3 linked regions of the Neurospora crassa OR74A genome follow. The protein of the gene in region 3 purifies or fractionates together with the protein of the main gene of each other region. This does not show direct contact. Links are inferred from orthologs where the notes say so. Each region holds a gene or a part of one and is shown on either strand. Other genes may lie near its edges. The genes, in order: pex14, pex5 and pex12.

Region 1 (9,874 bases), on a different chromosome or scaffold from region 3:
GGCACGAAAAGCAGCTGCCACACTGTAGGAGTGGCTCGCTTACATGCTCATGACTGCATAGAGAAAGTTTTCTCTTGATTCAGAACGACGTCTTCACGAGTACACTTGTCTCGATTTCTCAGATGGCATCCCACGATGGATGGCATTTTCTTCTTCCTCGCAATACGGATTTTATTCGGATCTTAAAGTTGAACAAACCTTGGACGGTCTTGCGTCCATTGGCTCGTTTACAATCAAGCGTGGGAACACATCACGAATACTGGCTAGGAGTTTACAAGATACCAGAGCATTTACAGCGTTGGGAAAACGGGCTTCTAGGTCCTGGACGGGTCGAGAGCGGGGCCGGTTACCCTTTCCTTCTGGTAGCATGGGTCACTCGGTTGACGCACTCTATGAGAATACTCGTGCTGGTATGCGAATGGGCAGTCCATTGTTGGGTGTCATAAAACCACGGAGGTGCGCTTGGACTTCACAGTAACTAGCAGGATAGTGAGGGGATCCGGAGTTTTGTCGGCTTTTTGATCTATACCAAGGGTCGGTCTCGAATTAGACCACATGACTTTGAGTCAACGGGTTTAGGATTGCATACGGCTTTGAGCGGAATGGTATCTATCTTATTGTATCCCAATAAACCACTCTTTTACTTGCTCATGAAGCATGACATCAGTAGTTAAGCTAGAAATAATTAGTGTTCGGTTCATCATGTCGTGGTCCCGTGCTTTCGCCTGTCCCTTTTTTTTTTTTTTTAGAGATTCACGTTTCCCCTGGGCGTCACTTAGACACCATCCATAGTCTGCTCTTGACCTTCCTCCACCTCCACGCGAACTCACCCCATCATCACTGTAGCTATAACCATTTCCTGCGAAGTGGTGGTCTGCTGAGAGCTACTTCAAGATATGGCATGATTACATGTAAGCGACAATCTCGTGATCCCTGTAGACAAGCGAGGCTTTCAGGCTTCTTCATACTAGGAATGGGGGAGTTGTGAGGATATGAACTGATAGTTTCAGGCTTGGAAAGAGGCAATCACCGTTTTACGTAGGCATATCAGAACACGACAGTACACGCAATAATACATTAGTGATGGTCATTGGTGGTGGTCAAGGCCAAATTCAAACCATGCTACAGAGGGGAGCCTTTCGGACATCTGTTAACCTTCCCAAAACTATATCTTACAAGTTACCCTCCTTCTCCAATTCCTTCGGTCCCAGATCCTCTTCTTAATTTCCTACACCATCAGGTTCCAGAGTCTCTCGGAGCCATCCCACTTCCCTCCTGTTCCTTGGCGTTCACACATAAACCAGCAATCGGAGTTCCCCTCTCCCTGAGAGAATACACCCAAAGCCCAATGAAGTCGTCAAGCACAAGAGGTATCAAACAAGAACGGGCAGAGAGAACCCAATTCCCTTCAAGCCACCCTCGTCAGCTCGATCAAGCACCTCCGTCCCGCTTGGCATACTCCTCCTCCATCCTCTCCTCATAAAGCCGATCAGCTTCCAACTCAGCCTCGGTCTTGGGCCTGCTGCTGCCTGCTCCGGTGTTCACTCCAGCGCCGGTGGGCCTTTGGTGGGAGGAAGACTCATGCTCATGCTCCTTCTTGTCCTGAGCGGGCATGGAGGCGTTGGGGATGTTGGAGGTGGTGGTGTCGGAAGAAGACATCTTGGTGATGTGTTTTGGGGTTTGGAAGGGGTTGTTGTTAACTCAATCGACTCGAGTGTCAGAGGTGGAGATACTGCTTGAGCTTAATACAGTGATGATTTGGCCGGGTGGGGTGATTTAAAGTGGCTCCTGATTTGGTTGGAACTAATAAATAGACTCGAAGGAAATAGGCGCTTGTTGTGTGATGATGAAGATAGGAAGCGAATCAAATATACCCGTTGGGGAGAGTGTCAGGTCAAGAAAGACAACGGAAGGGCTGCCTCATGTGGCAAAGGTGGCGAGCATTGTGGCTACGCAACACCTGTATTGTACACGTCTTTTGGGGGTAATTGGGGTAACATCTCGCCGTATATACGACGGAACTTGTTCCTGCTTCTTCATGATTTGATGTCCGCTACAACTCGGCCGAACTCCATAGTCTCTAAGTCTCGACCCTTGGCATTTCCACTGGGTGCTTAGATAAGGTAGCAACGGGCTTTTTATGTTGATAGAACGTTACTTCAAGTGGAAGATGTTGATAGTGGGGTTCACCTGGAGATCCCGGTAAGTGATGAGTATACGACTAACACTTGCCCGCTTCGAGACATCTCGGAAGACGTTGGTCAGCATGTCTACAAGTGTATGAACAAAAAGGCGCAGAACAATTCATTCAGAACTATCATAAGGTAACATGCATACATGATCCATATGGTCAGCAAGATCCAAGCCCCTTTTATGTGTATAATGTCAACACCGATCGCCGACGCCCTAGTCACCCTGCTGAGCCTTATGCCCAAACAACCACACACGATAATTCACCAACCCGACATTCAAAGTTTTGCGAGATCTCCCTCTGAGGCCGGCACGCATTTTAACTCTATCCTCCTCCTCATCTTTTCTCTAATCTCCTCCTCCGTATAGGGGCTCAGCGTCATAGGATCCAGCTCCTTCTCCTCCAGCGTCCCCGACTTGATCGTGGTAAACGTGCTCCTCATCGCGCTCCGCTTATCATCAGCACCATCAAGCCCTCCCTCAGAGGCAGTCGAATTCGTGACCCTTGCGATAAACCTCGACCACCCCTCCATACACCTATCCGCCTCTTTCAAGTTCTTCAACACCATGGCAAAGCAATGCGGCATGCCCTCGTACTCCTCAAACGTCACAGAAACCCCTTCGGCATGAAACCTTGCTGCCGTGAACTTGTCCTCGTCCGACAGCATCTCCCAACCCGTGCAAATGTATGTCGGCGGCGCACCACGCCAGCTGGGTGCCAGCAAAAGCGACACAAGCGGGTGCATGATGTAATCGTCGGCGACGTACATGCTCATGCGCGGCGGATTCGTGGGCCAGGCCGAGCACGGGGCGCGCAACTTCTCGGCCTTGTCCTGCGCCTCGAGGCCAGGGAGGTAGTCGAAGGCACCGTTGGTGACACACGACGGCGAGCTGTGGGTGATTTCTATCCAGGGCGAGTTGACGGCGACGCCGGCGGGTAGGGGGATGGAGCGCTCATGGCCGAGCCAGAACACGGTGGTGCCGGAGCGTTGCAGTTGCATGATGAGCTGGAGAAGCGCGAGCGAGAGATTGCCGCCTGCGCTGTCGCCGGCGATGACGATGTGCTCTGGCTTCACGGGCTCGTGGAATGCCTCGGGCGGTGGGTAGAGCAGGCCGAGGTACGAGACTAGTGCGTCCATGACCGCGGCCGGGAACGGGTTCTGCGGCGCAAGCCGGTAACGCACCGAGTAACACCTGCCGCCGGTCCGCTTGGCTAGTTCTCTGCATGTAGGCCTGTGTGTGGCCGGGTCCATGAGCCAGTAGGCGCCGCCGTGAAAGTAGAGTATCGTGGTTGGGGCTTTTACGTCTTTCATCATCTCGTCATACTTCTCCCGTTCTGGGATATCGGGCAGCTTCGCATCTTTGGGCACACCCGGCCTGTGTGCTGTCCACTCCGCCTCCACAGGAAGAACTTCTGGTACTTGGATCCTGGCCGTCTTCGGTTGGTCACGGTCTTGAAGCCCGTCGATGGCCTTGCTCAAGGTGTCATGGATGGCGCGCGCATCCTCCTCCGTGGGGATGGGCAGAGTGTACTTGCTGACCCATATCGTGCCCCGGATCGGGGGTACTCTTGAGAGCATCTTTTGGGTAAAAGTGATGCTCCTAGGCTTGGGCACGTCCATGAACGAGCGGAGCATGGCAATAGTGAGTTCCGTCCGCAAATCCTGGTATTTTGACGCCGGTGAGGCCTGCAACATGTGAAGCAGAGCCACCCGGGCCATCAGCGGGAGCTTGGATACCAGCTGGAGAAAGAGAGCGGTCTTGTCCATGGCGGCGGGCTTCTTGGTGGGTTTAGAGGTGACGGATGGGTTTGGGTGTTGGGGTCATGGTATCAGATCAACAGGGGCGAGTTCTCTTCTTATATTAGACCCCGAGATCCATAATAACAATGGGGCATTTCGGGTATCTAGGGATTCCGTTTGTGTTGTAACAGCCTGTAGGCGCTCCTTGTCTAATCATCTTCTTGAGCGCGTCCGCGTGGAGATTGGGGAAGGCTTGCGAGCGCAGATATCTCAGCGAATCTGCGGGGTGGTAATATCATTTATCATTATATCCGGCAGGTGGTTAAGAAAAAGAGCGAGTTGTGAGAGCTAAGCGAAGAACAGCAATGCAGAAACAATACGTATCCAGAGCGACGGACTTGACTTGCATCCCCTTTGTGGCCAATATCCCCTTCGGGTTTGGGCGAGACGAAGGCGCTATGAGAACATTGGCACAGGAAGAAAGGGATGATGGGTGGGGTCAATGTTTGGTTCCAAGCAAGCATTGCCCGATCAAGTAATAGCTACGAGGACTATTAGATGCGATTGGAAACTGAACCATGGCACGAAGGTGTATGTACCTTGAACCCGGGATGTCTTAACAGAGAATATTCCGCATCCGACCTCTCGGGTACGCATATGCTACGCTGAGGTAATGATTTGGCAGCGACATCAATACCTACACTACAATGTATCCTTTAGTTCTCTACAGAGGCCGCGGTGTTCTGACTGTACCGATGTGGCTGAAAGTCCTGAATAGAGGGCGACATAACCAAAGCCAGTTGTCCCTCTTTGACCGTTTGCGCATCTCTATTCGATCATGGCTTTTTTTTTTTTTTGCCCCTCCCCTCCAGTTTTTTTGGGTGGCTGAGGACAATAACCAAAAATTTGTCTCGGCAATGCCATAGCAGCGGTCAAAATAGTGAGGCAGAAATACTGGGCGGTCAGGTGTACGGGATGTCTCAGATCAATTCACGGCCTAACCTTATAAGATGTGAAAATGGTAGCTTTTGATATCATGCTCTAGGAAAATGCCATGCAACGTCCGCGCTTAAAGACCTTGCAGAAATACAAACGCGCTATCATGGAAAGGGGACTGAATGAGGTTGTCCCATGCTTCACAAGTGCTCCTGTGTATTGTCCTGCTTGAACAACGTACAGGAGCTTTATTACTATACAGAAAACCAGAGGGAGTCGCTCACTTTGGCCTTATGCTCATGCCGATTAATGTATCCAGGTTTCCCAGTTCCGGTGCTATTTTATCTTTGTGCCTGACTGGAGAACAGCTTTTTAAGCGGCTTCGTCGCCTCCGTTGCTGCTTGAGCCATCGTTTGTAGTACCGTTCGTGACTCCGACAGTCGAAGCCGACGCGGTTTTGTTGGCCATGGCCAACTGCCAAGCAGGGATAGTCGGCTTGCCTGCAGAGGCAATTCCGCTGCTGAAAGGCGAAGGCTTGGGGGCAGCAGGTTGAGCGAACTGCTGTTCCTGCTGGTATCTGGATTGCTCATCCTGCGCACTCGCGGCTCTGCTGTTTAAGTCTCCGTTCTCACCGCCGAGGGCTGGCGTGGCAGGGGCTGAAGAAGGAGTGGCGTTTCCGTTAGTATTGGGGCGAAGGTAGTTGTTGACGCTCGTCGAGGTGGCGGTTGGGTTCATGCGTTGCGAGATGAGGGTCTTGAGGCTCTTGAGTTCGGTATTGAGTTCGCGCAGCCTGTTGTCGGTCAAGTCCTTCTGGTTGTTGAGTGCCCTTGGAATCGAGTCCCTGAGATTTTGCACATCGTCCCGTACTCTCTGTGCTTCGTCGTCTCTGCGTCTGTTGGCTGCCTTGAGGTCCCTGACGACAGTCTCCAGCTCCTCGAGGGCATTGTCGAGTCTCTCTGTCCTTTCCTGCTCCGAGGCCTTGAGGATTTCGGTATCCTTGGCCAGCTGCTCAACCAGTTGGAATGTTTTGTCGAATTGTTCGTCGATGGACTTCTTGTCCTGCTCGAGACGCTCCGGCGTGGGAGGAGCAATCAAAGGATACACATAGCGCTGCCGAACGGTTAGAATTTCCTTTTATGTACATTGCACGGTGTTCGGCGGCCTACCTTGCCGAGATTGTATAGGCCGTACGACGCGCCTCCGACTACGGTCGCCAAAATGAACAGGTCCCTCCAGTCCCGCCTGACACCGTCGGTATTCGATTGCGGCCATGCGTATGGGGGATAGCCATAGTACTGCGGAGAGCCACCCTGTGCTGCGACGGGTCCGGCCGACTGCGCATAGGCGGGCGACTGGGCGTACGGTGGCGGTGGACCTCCTGATTCGGCGCGGGCGAGAGCAGCGCTGACTTCTTCCTGGGTGAGGTTCTTTGCTTGGAGAAAGGCTATCCGCTTCTCGATTGGCGAGGCGGCGACACTGGGGTCTTGAAGAACTGTGGTGTTGTTGTCGGGTGAGATTCTGGCCTGGCAATGTAGAGGAGGTAGCAGGGGACAAGACAGGGGCAGAACATACACTGCGCCGCCGAAGCGACCAGGTCCTCGCGGATGGCCATGACTGATGTTGTTTGATCGAAATGCGGCAGATGGCGTTCCCTTGTTGAGACTGGGCAGACGAGAGGAAAGAAGCAGACAGCTGAAACAGTCGCGACGCGATGGCAGACGGCGGCGGTTGATGGAATGATTATCGAAGGACGGGAGGCTGAATGCGATAGATGAAGTGGAAACGAACTGACTGGCAGCGGTTCGGGGGATGGCTGGGCCGCTGGATGGAGTCCTGAAGCCGAGGTTCACGGGACCGGGGGCCTGATTGTACACTAGACGTGGACTGCTAATAGCACCTTAACAGCTTCGCATCACTTGCACCCCCAGCACACTCGTGGAGGCATGCTGATCAGATAAATCACTATCTCCTCCCCTGACTCTCCTTTTCCTCCGACAGGCCTAGAGCGCAGCTGAGCATCCATTCCATGCAGTGACTGGCTCAGAGACGGGAGTGCAGAGCTGAAAAAGCACTGACCTGAAGCGAGCCAACACTCACCCTCAAGGTCGCTTTTGGACCCACTCCCGTCATTCACCTGCCGTCCCGATGCTTGGGGACGAGAACTGGAGTGCACTTGGCACTGTTCAGCCCAATGATTTCCACAGCCCCACCCACGTCGCCTTTCTTTTGTTTACTCTTCCTGACGGAGCAACCTCCCCCACCATCCGCAGAAGTCGACAACCTAGTCCCGTCTACACTACGGTGTCTTAATCTACCTACATACCTATGCTGGCCTGCATTAGGTTGCTGGCCGTACACGTACTTTTATCGCTACGACACGACGAAATCCGCGACTGCGGTTATGCATTGATTTCTGTCAGAGCCGCGAACACGTACCCACATTAACTCGAGCGCATACCTTAGCTCTACAAAGCTATCCGACATAATCACCACCAAGAGAATCATCGCCGACATCGATCCGACACAGTTGCACGTAGTGTAACACTCTTTTGTTCGCTTGCTTATATATTATCACGGAAACCACGCGACTAGGACGGCAAAAGGGAGGCGCACATTGACGAGGCCTTTGCCGTCATGTCGCAAGACAGCAACGCAGGCCTTTGGAGTGTTCGACGGCCAAGGGAGGTGCGACTTCCCCCCGTGACTTTCTTTGCGGCGTGTTTCCTCGGTCGAAACCTCTCCCCATCCGACGCGACCATGCACGATATTGACTCTGCTCTCTCTGTAGACTCTCCATGGCGTCAACCTCACGTCGGGCATTCCGGCACCACCCTCCACACTTAAGCGACAAAGCACCATCGGCACAATAGGAACGGGCCATGGTCGCTCTCTGTCGGGGAGGCAATCTCTGGCCCTCCCGCGACCGAGCCAACCTCTGTTCCAGCGATCCTCCGACATTGGCCTGGGCTCGGTAAAGCGCGCGTCGGTTCATAACATGAACACGTCGCAGTTCAAGCCCTATGGCACCCCAGGCAGTTCCGGTATTCCTCGATCATCGCAAGAACTCGACCGGCGAAGCAGCGTCTACCGCCCAAGCGCACGACCGTCGGCCGTCGGCGGAGGTCCCTTAGCTGGTGGGCATATGAGCTTCTTCCAGCAAGCGCCCCAGCCCGCCGGCGTGCCTCGCGATCCGCGCCCCCTCAAAGACCGTCAATTCCAAAATCGCATTGGCCAGGAGTTGCTCGAGTACCTCGCCAAGAACAATTTCGAGATGGAGATGAACCACAAGCTGTCCGACAACTTCACAAAGTCGCCGACACAGAAGGACTTCAACTACTTGTTTCAATGGCTTTACCACAGGATAGACCCGAGTTACCGGTTTCAGAAGAATATCGACCAGGAGGTACCACCATTACTCAAACAACTGCGATACCCATACGAGAAGAGCATCACCAAGAGCCAAATCGCCGCGGTCGGAGGTCAGAATTGGAGCACCTTCTTGGGATTACTGCACTGGATGATGCAGTTGGCACAGATGCTCGAAGGATACGCCCGACACCAGTACGACGACGCCTGTATGGAAGCCGGGGTCGACATTGCGGGCGACCAGATCATCTTTGATTTCCTCACCAGCGCATACCAGGATTGGCTCAATATGGATGACGAAGCAGGGGATGAAGACGTGGAGAGGGCACTACAGCCGCATGTGCAGGGAATGGCGGAGGCTTTTGAACGGTCAAACGCAAAGTACATCCAAGAACTGGAGATTCTCGAAGGGGAAAACGCCCGCCTGCTAAAGGAGATTCAGGAGCTCGAAAAGTCGACACCCGACCCGGCCATCTTGGACAACCACTTTAAGATTATGGAGGAGGACAAGATCAAGTTTGAAGAGTACAACACTCTAGCCATGCAGCGGACAGAAAAGTACGAAAACCGTATCCAGGTTCTCCGGGAGGAGCTGGGCAAGTTGCACGTGGAGCTGAAGGAGGCCGAGGAGGAGCGGCGACAAATGCAAAAGGCGGTGGACGACCAGGGGATCAGCATGCAGGATATTGACCGCATGACCTCAGAGCGGGAACGTCTTCAAAGGAGCATCGAGTCCGCTTCCCAGAGGCTCGAAGACGTCAAAAAAAAGGTCGCCGAGCGCGAGATGGAGGCGAGCCAGCGTCTGGACGAGCTCGAGCGGCTGGTTGAAAAGTACAACACGGTCGCCTACCAGATCGGACTGATCCCAGCCACGGCAGTCAATGCCAAGGGGAAGAATCTTGAACTGCAGGTAACTGTAAACGAGGGAACGCCCAACTTTGCTTCATCGATGCAAGGTGTATTGGGGCCAAACGGGCAGCCACTGGGCGGCGTGGAGAATGAGAGGTTGCTGGCCGACTCCACGACGGGATACCAGCCTGCGCATATCCTGAACCTGGATCTCCGAGGCCAAGTTAAGAACACCTTCCTGGCACTCAGGAAGGAGGTCTCGGAGAGGAGAAAGGTAGCTATGGATGTCATGATGGAAGACCATGACTTGCTCGATCGCGCTAAGGAGGCGATCGAAGATAAGCGTAATGAGGTCGAGGCTCTCGGGCATCGGGTGCGGGCGGCAGAGGAGGAGTATGAGAAGACTAAAGAGGTGATTAATGGCCGCGTGTCCTACGTGCTCGGTATCACTCATGCTAACAATGAGGTCTAGGTCACCAACGCCCAGAAAATGGCTTCAGATGCACAGATTGAGAAGATGGAGAAAGAGCTCGCCAAGATGCGAGCACAATTGTCCGAGTCTGTGCAGCTTATGGAGCAGAGGGAAATGAATACCAACATCGAGTAGGTTTGCCATGACTCTTTCAGGAATAGAACCAGCTGTGCTGACAAGTGGACAATAATAGGTATGAGCAACTCACGCTCCGAGCCAACGCACTTCGCGAAGAGCTCCACACGGAGACCATGCGCATGCTCAACGATGTCATCAAGTTCAAGATGCACGTCCAGCGAAGCCTGGAGGAGTACGAGAC
Region 2 (9,996 bases), on a different chromosome or scaffold from region 3:
TCAGAGGAAGCGCAGTCATCATGAGCAGAAAAAAGAACAAGAGTAAAGGTCAGCGCGGCGTTGCGGCTGCCTTGGCCACCTTTCAGGGCGACTCTATGGCCATTGATTCCGAAGTCACCAGCCTTCAGAATTCGACTGCTCCGACGGACGGTGAATTGACGTCAACCACAATTTCGGCTGGTCTTAAACGGCCATGTCCCGAAGATGACCATGAAGACGGCGGCGGCTGGCAGACAATCGAAAATGGCCGGCCGGTAAAGAAACTCAAGAAGATTCCTGGCCAGGAATCCAAGCGCTATCCCGGCATTCACTTTTCGACCCAGGCCAGGCTTTTTTCCAAGATCAACGTCTCTTCTTTACGCGACCTGATCCTGTACATCTTTGCCGATGGCCCTGCGCCGCAATGGGTGTCTGTCAAGCATCGCCCCGAGTTCAGAAAGATCGTGGCCATCATGGTACCGGGTCTTGACGAGGCCATGTTCAAGAACGGTCTTGACTTCTCCGCCTACACCGGTCCCACTCTTGATCAAGCGATCTCCGGTGGCGGCGCCCCTGATCCTGATGAGTACTATCCACGCGAGCTCAAGAAGGAGCTGTTGCCCGAAGTCCTGCAGCCCTTCGCCGACATGTTCCCGCATTTGTGGCCTGTAAAAGCTCCAGGTGACGACAAGTATGGCAAGTTGCACTCGCCAATGCCTGCAATGCTTACCGCGCCCCTGCCCAAGAGCAAGGGAACGGGAATCCAGCCCGTATCTGAGCCCCACGGCTGGAAAAATCAGCGAACACGCATTACCGAGTTTTTGGCCACCAACGAGGAGCTGATGGAGCATGGCTTCCCCGTTCATCCAGCTATGCTGAACCCAGGGGAGAAAAAAGACAAGTTCAAGGACCCCGAAGGCTGGGTACACACGAGGGTCGAGAATCTTGAGGATGGAAAGGTCCCCGAAGGCGAAGTGCAACAGGGCAGTGTCACCGCAGGCCGGGAAGTCTATGCCCTCGATTGCGAGATGTGTATGACGGGGGAAGCCGAGTATTCACTTACCAGAATCAGCTTGGTCTCTTGGGACGGCAGTGTTGTTCTTGACGAGCTTGTCAAGCCGGACAAGCCTATCATTGACTATGTGACCCGGTTTTCAGGTATCACCAAAGAGATGATCGATCCTATCAACACGACATTGAAAGATATCCAGGCACGCTTGCTCGACATTCTTGGTCCTCGCTCGATTCTCCTCGGACACTCGCTTGACTCTGATCTTAAGGCCCTCAAGCTCGCTCACCCCTTCATTGTCGACACCTCGCTTCTCTTCCCGCACCCTCGCGGACTTCCCCTCAAACAATCGTTGAAGTACCTCGCACAAAAGTTCCTCAACCGCGAAGTTCAAAAGGGTGGTGGAACCAACGCCGGACACGACAGTATCGAAGACGCCAAAACGTGTCTCGACCTTGTCAAGAGGAAGTGCGAGAAGGGCAAGGCATGGGGTGCCGGAGAGAGCCAGGGCGAGAACCTCTTCAAGCGCCTCGCTCGCGCTGGTACGGCATATCGCTCGACCGCTGGGCCGGAGGCCACGGGCGGTGCTCCTGTCGGCAAGAGCAGCGCAGCTGTTGACTGGGGTGACGTAAGCAGAAGCGCCGGTAACGCCGCCACCGTCACAATTTCCTGCAAATCCGACGCCGAGGTTGAAGCCGGCATCCTCCGCGCGGTCAAGGGTGATCCCGACGGCCTCGAAGTTCCCGGCGGCGGTGTCGACTTTGTGTGGGCACGCATGCGTGAGCTCGAGGCCCTCCGAGGATGGTGGAACCGCAACAAGCTCGTCCCCGAGGACGCTGGCGGCCCGCCGGCTCTCACTGATGGTGATAAAAAGGAGGAAGAGGAAGAGCAGGAGGATGCCGCATCACCCCTTGAGACCTGCCTGAAGACACTCGGCGAGCGGTTGAAGCGCATCTACGACAATCTCCCGCCCTGCACGGCTTTCATCGTCTACACCGGCACTGGTGACCCGCGCGAGATGAGCCGGCTGCAGGCCATGCAGGCCCAGTTCAAGAAGGAGTACAACACGCCTGGCTCTAAGTGGGACCAGCTTAGTGTGCAATGGACGGACAGGGAGGATCAGGCTCTGCGTCGGGCTCTGAAGGTGGCGAGAAGCGGCATTGGCTTCATTGGAGTTAAATAGGCTCTGAGCTCTATGCCCCCGAGTGGACGCTGGAGAAAGAAGAATTAATATCTGTGGGAGGTGGTTTCAGGGTAGCTGTTGGCGTGAACATGGTTATGGATGGCAGCGAAGAGGTTCTTAGATGACATCAAGACAGTATAGACCTTATGGCTTTGCTTGGTGCGTCAACGATGGTTTATAGAATATCGTCAAGATACATACTTCGATGCCGCGGGCTCTACGAACATTTACTTCTCTTTACGAAGTTTACCATAAATTTAGAGAAGGCGACGTCTTGAGTCTTCAGCATCTATTGCCAATATCACCGTTTTGTTAAGGTTCAGTGATACACGCTGTTGACCAAGAGCCTCAGCTTTGCACACCTTCATTGGATCTACTCTTCTATTTCTGGTTGACGGTAGATACTAGCAAGATGGTGATCCCAAACTTGTGGATATCAAAACGAGCAAGGTATGGCAAGGACACGCAATGCAGATTCTTTCAGAAGCCTATGTATCGTATCTATCTATGTATGTGTCTGTGAACACAATCCGCTTTTCTCCGCTCACCATCGTGAAGCAAGAAAGAAACACACGACACCCAGCAAATGCAAAACCAGACTCACCACTAGCCGAAAAGCACCAAGCCCCATCTTCGACTTTTCACTCCCCAACACAAGCTGTTAACAACCCCGACAAGCCAGCTACATTCGCTTTGTACAGTACTTAATATTTGTATATTCACCAAAACTCCCTATAATCATCCGAACATAGTGTACTCGCCTCACTCGACAAGTAACCCTCGTCCAAGTCCTCATCACACCACTGCTGCTCCTCCTTCAAGGCCTTCTCCATTTCGACATCAACATCGTAGTAAACATCCTCCATAGCGTCATACCCAACCATCCACTCCTGAGCCTCTTCTTTCAACTCCAACTCTGACTCACTCTAGAAATCAAACTCACCACGGAAGATCTCGGGATCCACGCCCGTAGTAACCTTCTCCGCCAGATCCCTCCGTCCCATCTGCGTGAACACGCGACGGAGAGTGTCGTAAAGGGTCGTGCTCCTGTTCTGCGTCATCATGTTATCGATACGCGAGTCGCTATCACCCGCATTGCCGCCCAGCAGCTCGCGCGCCTTCTCGCGTCCGCTCTTCTCTACAGACTTGTGCATGTCCAGCGCCGCGAGCAAGTGACCCGCGGCCTCAGCATGGCAGCCAATGTTGATGCACGAGACGCCAAGGTTGTAGCGGGCGCGGACAAAGTTGGGGTGAATGGCGAGGGCCTTTTCGTAGGCGGCGATGGCCTCCTCGGAGCGGCCGCTGTTGGCGAGAGTGGCGCCCAGCCGGTTCCAGAGCAGGTGGATCTGTTCGCGCTGGTTGGAGGTGCCGAGCTCGGTCGAGTGCAGCGCCGACTGGAAGCAGTCGACGGCCTTGTCGTAGTCCTCGGCGCCGTAGAACAGGACGCCTAGGCCGACCTGCACGTCGGGGTCCATGTGATCGCCATCGGGAGCGAGGCGGGCCGCCTCGAGGAAGAGGTTGGTGACGCGCTCGTGCAGCTGGGCGCGGTCGGTGAAGCCCATGTCAGCGGCCGAGGAAAGGTTACTGGGTGAGATGACGCTGGGGTACTTGGTCGACAGCCAGCGCTCGAGCGTGCGGTAGGCGGTGCTGTCGTAGCCCTCGTTGGTGTAGGAGACGGCTAGGCCCATCATAGCAGAGAGGTTGTTGGGGTCGAGCTTCATGGCACGCTCGAGAGCACGGATGGCAGCTTCTTCCTTCTCGTTCTGGGCTTGCGTCTGTCCGAGGTAGACCCACGCCTCGGTGTGGTCGGGGTTCTTCTGGACCGCAGCCTCGAAGGCCAGAGCAGCTAGCGACAGGTTCCCGCCCTCCTTCATGATACGAATACCCTCTTCGAATGGGTTTGGTGTCTCCCTGAAGAGGTTATCTTCCTCGAAGAGGTACTCTTGCACGATAGGGTCCGCGCCGAGCCTGCCGTTCAGCGTCCAATCTTCCTTTTCCAGGTTCTCACTGTCGAACTTGGCAAAGTCGTCCTGGACATCAATCTCGTCCAACTCCTTCATGGCGTCTCTTTCGGCCTGGATACCGCGCCAGATGGATTCGAGATCGCCAGCACCAGTCTCGGAGTGAAGTAGCGCCTCGTCCATCTTGTTGAGCTCGGGCTCCATGGCGCGGGCCTCGTCACCATTGATCTCCAGCTGAGCAAAATGCTCTTCCCACTTGTTCTGGTCGAGCTCAACAACTTTGCCCTTACCCTTGCCCTCGGGCTGTAGTTGTTGCTGGGGAATGTTGTGCATCTGAGGGCCGTGCATGCCGACCATGGGCTGGTACATGGGTCGCTGCATCATGTTGTAGTTCATGTTGCCCATGCCCATCATGCCACCACCCATCATGGGGCGCTGAGCAGGCATCTGGCTGGCGGTGGCCGGCGCCGCGGCGGGGTGCATTTGCTGGAACTTTGAAAACTCATCGGCGCTGAACTGAGTGCCAGGCGGCGCATTGAAGGCGGCTTCCATAGCCGCCTGTGTGTTGTGGAAGTCCTGAGCCCATGCTGGCGAGGCGTTCGGGGCGCGCATGTGGGCGCCTTGGCTCGGGTCGAGGTGAAGCATATGTCCTTGTTCGAGAGGCATATGAGCCATCTCCGGCGTTTGGTTTAGGAATCCGTTCACCATCTGTTCGAGAGGATCGTCATGTCAGCCAAGAGCGCATGCCTTGCCGTCAACAATATCCATGAAGATTCCTTACCTCATCTTGGCCAGGCCCGCGGTTAATACTCCGGAAGCCACCAACCGCAGCATTGGGACCTCTGTTGGCAAGTCTGTCATGTTGGAGGCTCTTGTCGTCTCCAACATGCTTGGTAAACTGACTGAGCGGGTTGCCCGCCGTCGAACACTCGGCTCCACCCATGAAAGACATTTTGAAGATGTTGGATATTAATGCGACAATGGCGATGTTTCGGCGAAAGTTGACAACGAAGCCCAAGACAGAAGACAAGATGGGCGGCTCTTGTACACTATCTGGTAGACGAAGTAGAGCGCTATGCGGTCGACTGTTGGGAAAGCAGCGGCCCGCGCAAGTTGTAGAGGCAGGCTGGAAGTAGCGGTAGCTAGGTAGATTTTTGCGCAGGGCAAAGGAAGGATGACTTTAGTTTGGAAGAGGGAAAGAAAAAAAGAAGTGGAAGTAACAAACAAGCCAGGCACGGGCGTGGTGAGCTCGTGGAGTTGATTAATTAGTGATCAAGCGGCGGTGTCCAGAACTGAAGTTGTCCAGGTGAAAGAAAGAAGTTGACCGACTCTCGCGGGATGTGTGGCAGGTGTGCTGTCTTGTAAGTAACGACGGGAGCCCACGGATGCACGGGCGGGTTGTCTGGGTCCGGCATGTGTGGATGGCAGCAGCGTGGTTAGAAATCGGGCTCTGCATGCATCTGAAGTGAGTTGGAACCTTGGGCGCCAAAAGCTCAGGTCACTCAGGGGCACAAGGGGGGCACCGCCGTGCGCCACCTGAACAGCTGGAAATGCCGAGGCAGCCAGGGCACCTCAGCCAGCCATCATATCCACCTCACCGCGCTCTTGTTAGGTCTTTTTGGGCTGTGGCAGTTGCCGGCCACACCTCAGGCACTTGTTGCCTGGCCGCGGCTATTACTGGTAACCCCGCCAATGGAGTGTTGTCAACCACACCTCACATGGAGCCGAACCCCAGCCCGGCCCGTGGAGTACACCCCCGCCCCCGCCCCCGGATCCATCATCGATCCCTTCGTTCCTTCAAACGACAGCCGAGAACAATCGGACGACAGCGGAGTGCGGAAATCATACTCGCATGCCGACAGCACGGCAATGTACGCAAGTTGAAAGGGAAAATGAACAATCAAACGATGCGTTTCGAGCAGATCGTCACGTCACGCATACGGGATGCAGGACGCAAAGAAGGTACAGAAGACCACCCCTCTATTCGTACATATGTACAGCGATATAACCAACAAAAAATGGTAAACGAAAACAACTAGTCGCAGTAAGAAGAAAGAAGAGAAGATTTTTCGTAGTTGTACAGGTATCATTGCAAGCAAAAGGTCAGGATGATGTACGCAGAGTGATCGTACTGCAAAGGCGCCACAACACCAATCCCACAGTTTCCCAATCCCAATGTGCCCCAATTTTGGCAACATTTGTCAAGAAACACAACCGGCCTCTTTTCTTTTTTGAAAACCGAACTTGCCCAGTTTTGCCCTCCATTACATCCGTTTCCCATCCTCTTCACCCAGTCATGTCGTAACCATTACATGCCCTCGATTGCGGCTTGTTAGTTTAGAACTCGGTGGACTCGCCCTGGTCGCGGCGGTTGTAGTTGCGGTCGCCACCCTCGCGGTTGTAGCTGCGGTCGCCACCCTCGCGGTTGTAGCTGCGGTTGCCACCATCACGGTTGTAGTTGCGGTTGCCACCCTCACGGTTGTAGCTGCGGTTACCGCCGTCGCGGTTGTAGCTGCGCTGACCATCGCGCTGACCATCACGCTGCTGACGGGGGCGGTACTCGCGGCGTTCGCCGTTGTTCTCACGGGGCTGACGAGCAGCGGCGGGCTGAGCATAGTCAATCTTGATGGTCCTCTCGCCGAGCTGGGTACCCTGGAGCTTCTCCAAGGCGTTGACGGCAGCCTCAACGTCGACGAAGTCGGCGTGGGCGAAGCCACGGGGCCAGCCGGTAGCACGGTCAACGGCGACGCGGACGTCCTTGAGACCGTCAATGCCGACGAAGATGTTGTTCAGCTCGGCATCGGTGGTCTCGTAGGGGATGTTGCCAATGAAAAGGCAGGCAGAGGGCTCGCCGACGGCGCTGCCGCGGTTGACCTTCGCACGGCGGGGCTCAACGCTGATGCGGCGACCGTGCCAGAAAGAGCCGTCGACTTGGGAGCAGGCCTCCTCGAGGGCCTCACGGGTGGCGAAGGTGACAAAACCGTAACTGTGGACACAATCTGTTAGCGTAGTTCAATGTGGGATACGTAGAAAGGACTCCAAACTTACCCCTTGCTCAAGCCGCGGGGATCACGGGCAAGGAAAACGTCGGTGACATTGCCGAACTTCTCGAAAGCGCCCTTGAGGTGCTCCTCGGTAGCGTCGAAGACAATGTTGCGGACGAAAGCGGCGTGGCCCTCAGTGGTGTCCTTCTGAACAGCAGCCTCCTCGGTAGCAGCAGGGGCAGTCTCGGTCTCGGTCTGCTCGGGCTGAGTAGGCTCCTCGGTGTTAAGAACACGGGGAGACTGAGAGAAGAAGCGGATAGCCTGGATTCTGCTGGAGACAAGAGCAGTACGGGCAATGCTGGCGGAAAAGGACGCAGCAGGAGCCTGGGTAGAGATAGCCCTCGAAGCAGAGAGGGCGGATCTGAGAGCGGCACGACGGATGGACTGCCTGAATATGGAGATATCTGGTTAGTAACTGATGTGGGATGCCGGTCTACCTGTCCGTTCCTTGACTGTTACGCCAGGAAAGATATTAAGCAACTCGAACTTACATTTTGAAGTATGGGGATGAGGATGGATGGATGGATGGGCAAAAAAGGGTTGTTGAAAAGAGGTATCGGGAAGACAGGAAGCGTTTGCCTGGAAAAGAATAAAAGTCAGTCGACCTCAAGGTCCCGCTCCCGAGTCGGGGTTCTCAGAGTGGACTCTCCACTGCCTATGGTTGGAGTGCTCTCATCCGCCGCTATCAGAAAATTCAAGCAGGGTTGAGGCGGCACACTGAGCTGCATAACCGATTGGACTAGCCGCCTTGGGAAAGGTTGCTATTACGGATAAGCTTATCGGACGTGCCTGACTCTGTGCAGCACGCGTCAGTGAGTGCAGGCTGAACGGTGCAGTGTGTAAATCCCGTCGCTACCTCTAGAGGTCTAGTACTGACGGTTCTTTATCTATCGCTATCAGTTGTCCAACTTCAACTTCACCTGGCACTTTACAAAAACACATCTCAAACCCACAATCACGGCGACGGGTTGCGCATAGAAAATGACTTGAGATTTACGCTCGCCAACATATTTGGACTTGGTCTCATTTGAAGGTCTAAGGCTTTCTCTATCAATTCGCAGGACATCTCTTAGGGCTGGTTGGCCCCATATTCCCCAACGTTCTGGTCTGTCCCCACCAACCATACTACGTCAGGTTCATGATCCAAACCGACCGGATCACTACCGGTACTTGAGCGTGCTATGCGCCATGGTCCAACTCGCCATCAGCGGTCTCCAAGGGATGTTGAGCGTCGAGCGACATCACACCACCCCCATATCTACTCCCCGTTTTGGAACACAGCGCGCAGGTCCTCCCTGCCGCTGACGCTGCCAAGGGTTGGCCTCCTCGACTTCCGCAAATGCTGATGGCGATGAGATCTAGAGGCTGAACTGGGCCCTAGCGTCCTGGGACCCGAGTCGAGTTGATGGATTCGATTTGACGCAGTTTTGTTGGACTCTGCGTTTCTGGGATCCGTAGTCAGATTTTGGTAAGTTCCTGACTGAATGATGCTGGGACCTCGATCCAGATTGACTGGATGGGATCTGAGGGGGTCGAATTCGAGGGATATGCCATGTCGCGAGGCTACCGGCTCCGGTTCCGTGATGATGATTTTGATGTTGTTCCCATTCCTACGATTGTCACTTCGGCCCGTCCCAGGCTTTCGTTCTTTCCGTTCCTCGGACGCTTCCTGCTCACTGGTGTGGGCCAACAATCTCTCTTCGTCCGCCGCGTTTGTGGGTAAGACGGTGGATGAAGAGGTCCAGAATGGGCGGTTCCGATTCTTGCGGAAGTAATTTGCCGGCGCGAAACGCATGTTGGGAGATGTGCTTTCAACTGATGGCAAGTAGGTGTTGATGGTGTAGCTTGACGGACTGGGTTGTCCATCCTCCCTGTTCTCAAGATCGTAATACTGACGAGATTGACTTTTTCTGCTATATATAATATAACAAACAGCCAACAGGAAGATTATCGATCCGGATATCGAAACGACAAGCGCAGGTCGGAGAGGTCCCCGATGCTGGACGGAGTAGATAATTGAGAACACAATGAGCGAGGTCATTAAGGAGACCAGGAAGATTAAGAGTACCACCTCGATGGTCGAGAAGGGGCGAGGGCCACCGATTTTGCGATATCCCTTTGCCGGGTATGAGATTCCGACCATGGTGGGAAGGCATAGCAGAAACTGTGTTCATCTGGGGAAGGAGCATCGACTGGCGGGAAGTGGTCATTTTTCATGAGTGCTTGGAGTTGGGGGGTGTTATAGACCCAACATGGACATGCTCACCAGGCCTCAACAACTCGTGAGACTGTAAGACAGTGCCCATGAAGGTGGCATGAGGATTTTACCTTCGGGTCAAGCGCGAGTGTGCTGCAGAGTGATCATTCACCTTTTCCACCGGATGAGAAGAGCAAATGACAACAATGACGCAGAGCAACCACATGGGCTATGTTGGTGCCATAGGGCTGGGTGGCTCTTTGTCATGGGACCAATAGGAGATATTGCACGTGCCGCAGTACTAACTACGCCCATGGTTTGCGGTACACTCGCCAGTGTAAGCGCGATCTTTTATACCTCAGTCTCATAGCTCGTACCAACAACCGTCAAGTAAAGGTCGTGCGAATGGAGCGCCATGCTGACCGGTTGCGTGCTCTTTCAAAAGCAGATGGTTAGACCCCGTCGTCCATACTACGAGCACTCACCACCACCTATTTGATGGTTTGTAGTTCCCACACATATCCGAGAAAGACTCTAATAACGGACATTACCCACATCGGGATTCCGCTTACTCACTCCGAAAGGCAACCTCAAAGCTACAGTACTGCCAACCGCACACCATG
Region 3 (9,877 bases):
AATGTTCAGACTAACAGTTCGCAATCAGGTCTCGGCAAGACATTGAGCATCTTGTCACTCATTACAAAAACTATGGACCAGGCTGCGGCTTGGAGTCTTGAAGCTCCTGTGCAGCCGCCAAAGCCGCCTGAGAAGAAACAGCCCAATGCAGCGAGATACTTTGAGGTGCCCAAACCTCAGGCCATGGGCCTAACGCCGGTGCGATTGAATGGAAAGGCAACCCTCTTGGTTTGCCCACTGAGCACGGTTACGAACTGGGAGGAGCAGATCAAGCAGCATATCAAACCCGACACCTTGTCTTACCACATCTATCATGGTCCCAACCGTGTGAAGGACGTGAAGAAACTGGCACAGTACGACCTCGTCATCACGACCTACGGATCGATCTCAAGCGAACTCAACGCCCGCGCCAAGAACAAGGCTGGCATATACCCCTTGGAGGAGATAGCTTGGTTCCGCATTGTGCTGGACGAGGCACATATGATCCGAGAGCAAAACACGTTGGCGTTCAAGTCGATTTGCCGGCTTCAAGCAAGCCGCCGCTGGGCTGTCACTGGTACGCCAATCCAGAACAAGCTCGAGGATCTGGCCTCGCTCCTAGCATTTCTGCGCGTCAAGCCCTTCGACGAGAAGATCAAATTCTTGCAATACATAATTGCTCCGTTCAAGAATGCCGATCCCGAAATCGTACCGAAGCTTCGCGTCCTCATCGACACAATAACGTTGCGTCGTTTGAAGGACAAGATCAACCTTCCGCCACGAACGGACGAGATAATCAGGCTTGATTTTACCCCCGAGGAGCAACGGGTGTATGACTGGTTTGCAAAGACCGCAAAGGAGCGAGTTTCGGTCTTGACCGGTCAAGCCATCGGTCAGGAACGCATTATTGGAGGCAAGACCATGATTCACATCTTGCGTTCCATCTTGCAGCTTCGCCTTATCTGTGCTCACGGCAAGGATCTCCTCAATGAAGAAGACCTTAAAGAGCTCCAGGGAATGACGGCAGACACGGCCATTGATATCGATAGTGACGATGATTCCGGCCAGCTTGTCCTCTCTGAGAGCAAGGCCTACGAGATGCTCTACCTGATGCAGGAAGGAAACAGCGATAACTGTGCTAGGTGCAACACGAAGCTGGGTTCCAACGAGGTGGTGGACGTCGAATCTGAGCGTCAGGAGGACATCATCGGGTACATGGTCAAGGCCAACTGCTACCACGTTTACTGCAACAAATGCGTTGACCACATCAAAAACGAAGCGTGTCCTACGTGCTCTGGCATGACCAGGCCTGGTTGCATAGAACTCCACCGCGCCCGTGCCATGGCCGAACACGAATCGAGAACCGCCAAGGTCGAGAACGGAGACGCAAACCAGGACCTCACCGCCTACTCAGGACCCCACACCAAGACTCGCGCACTCGTTGCCGAGCTTCTAGCCGACAAGCAAAAGAGCGAGGCGGCGCCCCACGAGCCCCCGTACAAATCGGTCGTCTTCTCCGGCTGGACCTCTCATCTCGACCTGATTGAACTCGCCCTCGAAGACGCCGGCATCACCTTCACCCGCCTCGACGGCAAGATGACGCGCACCGCCCGCACCGCAGCCATGGACAAGTTCCGCGAGGACCCCTCGGTGCAGGTCATACTCGTCAGCATCATGGCCGGCGGTCTCGGTCTCAACCTGACCACGGCCAGCAGCGTGTACGTGATGGAGCCCCAGTTCAACCCGGCGGCGGAGGCGCAGGCGGTCGACCGCGTGCACCGCCTCGGTCAGAAGCGGCCCGTGCGTACGGTCAGGTATATCATGGCGAATAGCTTTGAAGAGAAGATGCTAAGGCTGCAGGAGAAGAAGAAGAAGTTGGCGAGCTTGAGTATGGATGGTAGGGATAAGGGACAGGTGATGGATCGTACGGATGCGGCAAAGCAACGGTTGATGGATTTGCGGAGTCTTTTCAAGTGAGCTGCTGACTGACTGACCGGCTTGCCTCGCTGCGGTTTATGGATGAATGAATGAATGGGTGGTCACTTTGTTATTATCATTTCTTTTTCTTCTTTTCTTCTTACTTTCAAAGACGGGATAGACAGACGGATCGGGATCATGCGTGCGTGGGTTTTGCAAGCAAAGAGGAGTTCTGCGTCCCGGGGCTGGCTGGCTGGGTGGGCAGATATCATGACATGGCATGGCGCGACGGGGAAACGGGGAACGAATTACACTGCAGTAGCTCGGGCTAGATTTACATTTACAACATATGTAGACGGGGTTATTATGGACGTCGAAGCTACCTCTCTTCTAAATCTTCTCTGTTTTGTTTTGCTTTACTTTCAATGGGAACTGCTGGAAGGAGACCGTCCTTTGATTTTTCAGGGAGGGAGGGAGGAGCGCATTTGCAACAAGATATCACTCTTCTCTTCTCTATCTACTATACTATACTCCTCGCACGAGGACTTCGTTCGGTAGAGGTATATATACACTCTATGCATTTCCATTTCCATTACCCCTTTGTTTTCTCTCTTTTTCTCTCCATAGACAGCTACCTAGTCAAGACAGCGTTCTTCAGGCAGAGAAAGGCAGAATATTCACTGGTGGTCGTATGTATATGGTTATACAATGAGAAGCATCGCAATAATACCTACCTACCTACCTACCGAACTCTATCACATCGCCATCCACTTGCTACAGGGTTTGAAGTAAAATCAACTACACTAGATAGCGCTTCTCATCACGGCAAATAATTGACTAGCTAGTAATCTGAAAGAAATTATCGTCAAGCAAGACGTAGACAGACATACAGGAAGATGGGAAATTCCATTTTCATTGCGAATTTGGTCAACATGGCAGGCAAAGTGGTAGGTGCTACCATATGAGTTAAGGTTTGGCACTTAGAGTCCAACAACAAAGCGGGTTTAGCTCAGTTGGGAGAGCGTCAGACTGAAGTCCACTTCACTCATAAATCTGAAGGTCGTGTGTTCGATCCACACAAACCGCATCTTTCTTTTGCCTTTTTGGATTCGCGAAGTACGTACAGGTAGATTAATCGAGTTACTGAAACGGTGTTGATAGACATTCTGATCCCCCCCCCCCTTTTTTTTTTTTTTTTTCTTGCATGAGCTTCGTGTTGTTCGTACGTGAACCATCCGGTTTGGCAGTACAGAAAAAAAAAGAAGATGGCTGTTGACATTTCATCGACCACGAGGTGATAGAGGAATCTGATTGTCTGACCAGTAAGCATGTCCAGTTTTACATGTTCGTTTGCGGTATGTTGGTTATGCAACTTGCCAGATTATATGCCACCATTAAATAATGTCTAATGTTCGCTTTTCACAACTCATGCCAATCCATCATCCTCAATATCTTCTTTCCGGCTAAACCATGATCCGCCTCAGCCCTTCCGTCCCTCCCAGCACTTTCCTTCCTGTGACGGCACATCTCCCCTCTCCGCTCTCCCACTTGCCCTCGCGCTCTTTCGTCATGAACTTCTCCTGCCTGACATGGGTCCCGCTCATCCACTTGTGTATGCACGAAAAGCAATAGACCACACCCGTCTGACACGCCGCCGGCGTCTGGATCTCGTCCTCGCAAATAGGGCACATATCAGATCTCTTGGGTGGTGGCACCGTGAAAATCGGCAACAGCGTCGAAGCCGCTATAGGCGCCGTCTCGGGCGTTGGTTCCTTGCTGCTAGCCTCCTCCTCTGCCTCATCATCCTCATCCGCCTTCTCCTCCACACCATCCTCCGACGTCCTCGTGATCTTGGGTTTAGGCTTATTCCTCGCTTGCGCCTCCACCAGCCCCGTCACCGTCGGCGGCGGCAGATCCAGGCTTTCCGCCGCCTTGCGACTCAGCTGCTTGGCGAAATCCGAAGCGTACCACCACTCAAGGAACTTGAGCGCAAAAATACTCGTCGGCAGCACCAGCGACAGACCGCCCATCAGCCTTCGACTCATATTCCTCGGACTGAACATCGACCCCCCTGTTAATCTGGAGGTAGCGGCGGCGGCCCCCGCTGCCTTCTCTAGAGCCTCAATCGCCTGATAATCCGCCCCGTTCATCCGCCGCACGCGCGTCCCGATCAGCCACAAAAACGGGTTATGGTACTTTGTGTTGTCAAACAGATACCCCAGGTTAAACGCCAAGATGGCAAAGTAATACGCCGCGTTCAAGCTCGGGTACACTTTACGTAGAAACCAGCGGTAGTAATACAAGAACCGCTCCTTCATCGGGGCCCCCTTTGCCGGCGGCCGCGTGTACTGGCCGCCCAACATGGCGCGCGGCGCATCGATCTCGTAGGCCTCGTCCAGCTTGCGTTTCAGGTAGGGGATCCCGACCATGACGGCCAGGTTCTTCCAGATGTCGACATCGGAGAGCTTGAGGGCGTCGCGGACGAGGTTGGGCGCCGAAGAGGCCGCGCGCGGGATCTCGGCGGCCAGCGCCTTTTCGCGCTTGAGGCCGTAAAAGTGCTCGGTGAAGCTGCCGCCGCGGGTTTTGAGGTAGTGGCGCTCGACGAGCAGCCCCGCGAGGGCGTACAGCTCGTCAAAGGAGTTGAGGATGCGCAGCAGGTGGCGCGGGTAGCGGTGGGTGAGCACGGTGAGGAGGTAGCGGAGGGTGGGCGGGAGGAGGGAGGCGAGTTGTTGTTCCGAGAGAAGCTCGAAGAGGGAGGGCTTGCCGTCGTCGAAGGTGCCGCGGAGGGCGGTGACGAATTCCATGGTTGTTGCGACGGTGCCCGGTTGGGTATTGTTACGGTCTGGTGGTTATCGGGGGCGGGATGGGATGGGATGGGATAGGCTCCCGCCGGTTGTATCGAGAGGGGGTGAGTTCGAGGTTCCTCTTTCGGTATGTTCCAGTGTCGCGCGTAGTGATAGGGGGTCGGTGTGACGTTTTACTAGTATTATATCGCCGTCGTGGTTTCCATCGATGGATTTGTTGATGTCAAGTCAAGTTCACGATATAATTGGGATGAATTGAAAGAAACGGGGCGAGATGGACCTGGACCTCGACCTCCTGGAAGTTCGAACAAGGGGGGGGGGACTCAGACCGGGGCCAAGGAGTGGATGCCGCGACGCATCAAAAGTGGCACTTGGTAGCACTGTGAGTGGACAGCTGAAAGTCGGGCAGCGCAGTGGAGGCCTGTGGGTGCTCCCGTCGCTGTCTAGTGTAGTTGCTTGCTTGCTTTTGCTTGCCGCCGCCGCCATTTGGACCTTGCCAGGTAGCCGAGGCTGTCAGGTCATTCATGTACCCCAAGAAATGGGTTGCAACGGATGCCCGCCAGTTTACCCCATTTGCCCATTCATCCCCAATCATCCCCCCCTGTGCCTGTGATGTGTAGTGTAGACTACTGCTACTATGCTAGGTAGTCACGGCAGGCATGGATACCCCCCTCTCCTCTTTTGCTTTGGTTCGATTCCGTCGAGTTGTCGGGCATCCGTTGTCGGTGTTGTTTCCATCCCGCTCTTTTACACATACCTACTACTACTACCTACTACTTGTACCGCCGGTAACACTACATTGATAAATTACCTACTACTTCCCTGTTTTGACTTATTGCCGGTTCCTGTGTGTGTGTGGTACATCGATACTAACCAACACCGACCAAGGCAACTACCTACCTCCCTCCCGTCTACCTACATACACACTACGAGACTACACTACCTCTACTAACGGCAATCTACAACCGCCCTTCCCTGCCGCGCATCCCATTACGGACGGCACAGTGAAACACCGGACCTGCAAGCCACAATCTTATCATTCTTATTTCCCTTCCCTTCCCGTCTTATCGTCTCGTCTCGTCGCTCACGGAGATAAAAGATGACCATCCGTACTTATCATCGCCCAGTAAAGACATCTGAAGTCGTTGTTGTTTCGTTAGCATCCCAAGAGGAGCAAGAAAATACTATGGCCGGTGGTCAAGAAGGAAGAAAGGGGTCGGCATCACCGCCACCACCACCACCACCACCACCACCAGCAACACCACCAAAGAGCGGTGGTGGTGGTCAACATCAACATCCACATCATCATCTGCACCATCTACACCATCTACACCAACAATATCAGCAATTTCAGCAACCGGCACCACCACCACTACTACCGTATCCACAAAGTCAACATTCACAAAGTCGTCACCCGCAGCAGCAGCAGCAGCAGCCACCAAGAAGTGCAGCACCACCAGCACCAGCACCAGCACCCGCACCCGCACCAGCACCCGCACCAGTACCAGTACAACCACCAAGCACTACCGTCGACCCAAGTCTACTGCCATACACGGGCGAGCAACGAATACTCGAACTACACCGACGAGAACTCGAAAAGGCTTCTAGCGGTGATATCAGCGATCATGTGCGTCACTCTTCACTCTTCACTTACTACAGTACCTTCTTCACTTTTCCCTAATTTCTTCCATAAGAGTTCTCCTTCCTTTTACCACATAACAAACTAACATGACAAGCAGGACTACACAACCCCCCTCCTCCCGCACCTAAAACTCATCTCGGCCGATTCTGGTCTTCCCCACCCCAAGTCCTACTTCCGCTACGTCGTCCAACCCTCCCACTGCAACCGCAACGGCACCCTGCACGGCGGCTGCATCGCCACGCTTTTCGACTACTGCACCAGCATGCCGCTTGCGCTCGTCTCCCGCCCCGGGTTCTGGTACTCCCTGGGCGTCAGTCGGTCTTTGAACACGACGTACTTAAGACCTGTCCCCGTGGGCACCGAAGTGTTTATCGAGTGTGAGGTGGTGGCGCTCGGTAAGCGGATGGCGAGTATTAGTGGCAAGATGAGGAGGGCGGTGGATGGCGCGCTGGTGGCTACTTGTGAGCATGGCAAGGTGAATACGGATGGGGCGGAGGGGGGGAGTAAGCTTTGATTTTGCTTTGTCTTGCGTTGCTTTGCTGTGTGTGGGAGGGGGTGGAAACTGGGGAGATGGATCTTTCTTCTGGGAAGAGAGTAGGATTTGTGTTGTTGTTAGATGGTGTAAGTAGATATTTGCAGGCAAATATGATGGTAGTTACAAATGATGTGAAAAAAAAAAAAAATGCAAGGCAAGGTGTGTGTGTATCTATCTGTGTGTCAATATGGTCCCGTTTCCATAAAGCTTACTTGGTGCCATGCTATGTTTAAGCCTCGATTTGTTAGCCATCCACGCTTCAAACAAAACTCCAAGAAAAAAAAGACATACAGAGGTAACAAGCTACTATGCCCCCTGCTGACCGCCTCCATGACCGCCCCGTGGCCGCGCAGCCTCCAAATCCGATATCTTCCAAAACGCCGTAGGCCCACAAGGTCCATGGGGGTTATAATCCCTACAAGAATCAAGAAACACATGGTTAACAAACATCCAAAGACGAAGGCGGACATGGAATGATAACCTACTTGTCAAACCAATTCCCAACCACTCCACGAGCAGACTTGACACCTCCAATCTGGATCCCCTCGCTCCGCCATCTCTCCTCGCCATCATACAGCGAAGATGTCGTCCACCGGACCTCGCCCTCGGGCGTCATTTGCACGACTCCTACAACTTGCCCTTGTCAATATGCCATCCATCCATCCATCCATCCATCTCTTTTTTTGAAAATTGTCCAAGGGAGTTTAGTTATGAAGAACTCACCTCTCAATCCCCAAGTGAGGCGCGCCTCTCCAGGAGACCCATCAAATGACCGAGCGTATCCCCTCCAGTGTACAATGGGCCATATCTTCCCCTTGATCTCCGTTCCTGGCTCGGGGTAGACGATTCTGTTGACGTGGATCTTCATCATGAGCAACTTGGTTGCCTCGCCCACGTCCAGGGGCGGCCTCGGCACGCTCTCGGGGCACGGCATGTTATCGTCGGGGAAGTTGAACGAGAAGAAGTCGGTGTAGTCTTTTTTTTTTTTTTTTGGCACCATGTATCAGCTTCCTCTCGACCAAGAAAGACAGTGGGAAAAAAAAAAAAAAAAAGGACGACTCACCCAAAAAACAAACCACCCTCAACCAAACTCCCGAAACCCCATACGGATCCTCCATCTCCAACTTCATATCCCTATTCTCCTCCTCTTCCTCTTCTGCAGCAAAATCTCCATCACTATTATCCCCATCCTGCTCTTCCTCCCCCTCCATATCATCCACCGCCCCATCATTCGCCACATCCGAAGCCCAATCCTCATGCTGCGTTGTATTCGTATTATTCCCCCACAAGAACCAACCCGCATAACCACTTCCCACCCCCATCGGACCATTTTGTCCCTGCTGTCCCTGCCCGTCCCCATCTGTTGTTGTCGTCGTCGTCGTCGAACTGCTGCTGTTGTTCCCGTTCCCGTTACTCCCCGCCCTCGGCAACCCACACAGACTCCCCTCCCAACATCCCGCAAACGGCGTATTCCAGACATTCCCCACCATCGGGATCCTATCCAGCTCCTTCAGCTTGATATTCGTCCTCAGCACCAACAGGATCGCCTCCACCTTCTCCCAATCCACCTTACCACTCCCGTCGGCGCGGAACGGTCCCCACTTGCTTCGCGTCGTGTACTCACGCAGATCATACACCTTCGACACGGCGTAGGGATACAGTCTAGGCACAAGCGAGGTGCGTCCGAAGAAGGCTGACCGCAGTTGACCGTCGCGGGTAGGCAGCGGCGGGCTGGGCGGGGTGGCGTGCGCGTTGGTGCCTGGCGTAGGAGGAGGGTACGGGTTCATGTTCAACGAGGACGAGAGCGCAGGGTTGTTGGGCAGCGTTAAAGTGGCGGGGGCTTGCACGCCGACGCCAAAGTGGCAGTGCATCTTGGCGGATTGTTGTTGGTATTCGATGTAGATGGGGATGCGGACGTAGCGCGAGCGCTCGAGGTCGATGATGGTGCGCATGGGGATGGGGAGGTAGTCGAAGCAGTGGGCGCGCTCGTAGAGCTGGGAGCCCTGGAGGAAGGCGTTGCGGACGGATTCTTTGGAGAAGAGGTTGGAGAGGATGGCGGCGTTTCGCGAGGGGGAGTAGGAGGAGGAGATTTGTTGTTGGGTGTTGAGCTGCTCGTTGCGGATTGATAGGGAAGAGGATGGGGGGATGGCTTTGAGAAGGTTGGTGACGGCGTGGTAGACAAAGGTCATTTTGGGCATGTGTAAGTTGGGACATGAGACTTCAAAGTTCTGTATGGGATGAGTGGGCTGTTAGTAAGCTAGACAAACCGAATTATCTTGGGAGTGAAGCATGTCCTTGATAATTGAAACCTTCACAGCACGAGTGTATCGTCGTTGTAAGAGCTTACCTCATACTCCCGTCCACACAGTCTGCGCAACTTGGCCAGATCATTGAGGCTCTGCTCCCAGTCCACATCCTCTGGTGGTTCGTCCTGTGTAGTGTCCGTCAGCATCATGTCTGAGGAGAGGATAGAGAAGTTGGCAACACACCAGATATCGATAATAGATGTCCCGATGTAGAACTGCATTTCCTTTGACATGTTCTGTTAACCGTCGACAGATGCTTCGGATACTGGGTAAATCGTCGGGCGCCACGTAGCCAAAGATGTTGTTGATGATCTCCGAGGGCAGCTGAGTGAGGAGCACCATGTTGACTTGCGATTACTTGTTTCACTTCAAGTGGCTGATCTTAGTCGATGTCGGAAGGGAGTAGTATTTTTGACAAGAACTAGTTGTGAGATGTCAAGAAGGGAGCGAGTTTAAAAGCCAAGCAGGCAGGCCTGTGAGGATATCTAGAGGTAGCAAGGTCGGCGGAAGACGAGAAAAACAAGGGCTAACGGAGAATGCAATTCAAGGTTAGTCAAGTCACCGTAAGATATAACAAGTGTCAAGATGCTGGCATGAGATATGTTGATGATGCTGGCACCAGCATCGATGAGATGTTAGGTGAGGAGGAGAGCTTGTTTGGCAATCCCTTGGCCGAGATTCCCGGCAACGTGAT

The links.
Region 1: the proteins of pex12 (region 3) and pex14 purify together in Saccharomyces cerevisiae (affinity purification with mass spectrometry; 5 studies listed by BioGRID, with this or other methods). This does not show direct contact. The link is inferred for Neurospora crassa OR74A from reciprocal best matches to the Saccharomyces cerevisiae genes PEX12 and PEX14.
Region 2: the proteins of pex12 (region 3) and pex5 purify together in Saccharomyces cerevisiae (affinity purification with western blotting; 4 studies listed by BioGRID, with this or other methods). This does not show direct contact. The link is inferred for Neurospora crassa OR74A from reciprocal best matches to the Saccharomyces cerevisiae genes PEX12 and PEX5.

Annotation. Positions count from the first base shown.
Region 1 is NC_026506.1:2,096,490-2,106,363, reverse strand, and holds pex14 (peroxisomal membrane anchor protein), read right to left. Parts: upstream 6,895-9,874; 5' UTR 6,481-6,894; coding exon 6,441-6,480; intron 6,361-6,440; coding exon 6,035-6,360; intron 5,979-6,034; coding exon 5,241-5,978; 3' UTR 4,879-5,240; downstream 1-4,878. Other genes in the region: NCU03905 (hypothetical protein), read left to right, coding at 1-28; NCU03904 (hypothetical protein), read right to left, coding at 1,432-1,659; NCU03903 (lipase/esterase), read right to left, coding at 2,469-3,959; NCU03899 (HEC/Ndc80p family protein), read left to right, coding at 7,503-7,553, 7,657-9,495, 9,556-9,686, 9,749-9,874. UniProt on the Saccharomyces cerevisiae protein: Component of the PEX13-PEX14 docking complex, a translocon channel that specifically mediates the import of peroxisomal cargo proteins bound to PEX5 or PEX21 receptors.
Region 2 is NC_026501.1:8,568,494-8,578,489, forward strand, and holds pex5 (peroxisomal targeting signal receptor), read right to left. Parts: upstream 5,626-9,996; 5' UTR 5,085-5,625; coding exon 4,914-5,084; intron 4,841-4,913; coding exon 3,098-4,840; 3' UTR 2,623-3,097; downstream 1-2,622. Other genes in the region: NCU02961 (exonuclease), read left to right, coding at 21-2,171; NCU16466 (nucleic acid-binding protein), read right to left, coding at 6,470-7,118, 7,181-7,564, 7,668-7,669; NCU02959 (hypothetical protein), read right to left, coding at 8,435-9,067, 9,245-9,319. UniProt on the Saccharomyces cerevisiae protein: Receptor that mediates peroxisomal import of proteins containing a C-terminal PTS1-type tripeptide peroxisomal targeting signal (SKL-type).
Region 3 is NC_026504.1:5,622,920-5,632,796, forward strand, and holds pex12 (peroxisome assembly protein 12), read right to left. Parts: upstream 5,026-9,877; 5' UTR 4,701-5,025; coding exon 3,360-4,700; 3' UTR 2,971-3,359; downstream 1-2,970. Other genes in the region: NCU05246 (DNA repair and recombination protein RAD5C), read left to right, coding at 29-1,956; NCU05244 (thioesterase), read left to right, coding at 5,800-6,327, 6,440-6,856; NCU05243 (hypothetical protein), read right to left, coding at 7,184-7,292, 7,363-7,504, 7,601-7,852, 7,941-9,105, 9,225-9,308, 9,367-9,525. UniProt on the Saccharomyces cerevisiae protein: Component of a retrotranslocation channel required for peroxisome organization by mediating export of the PEX5 receptor from peroxisomes to the cytosol, thereby promoting PEX5 recycling.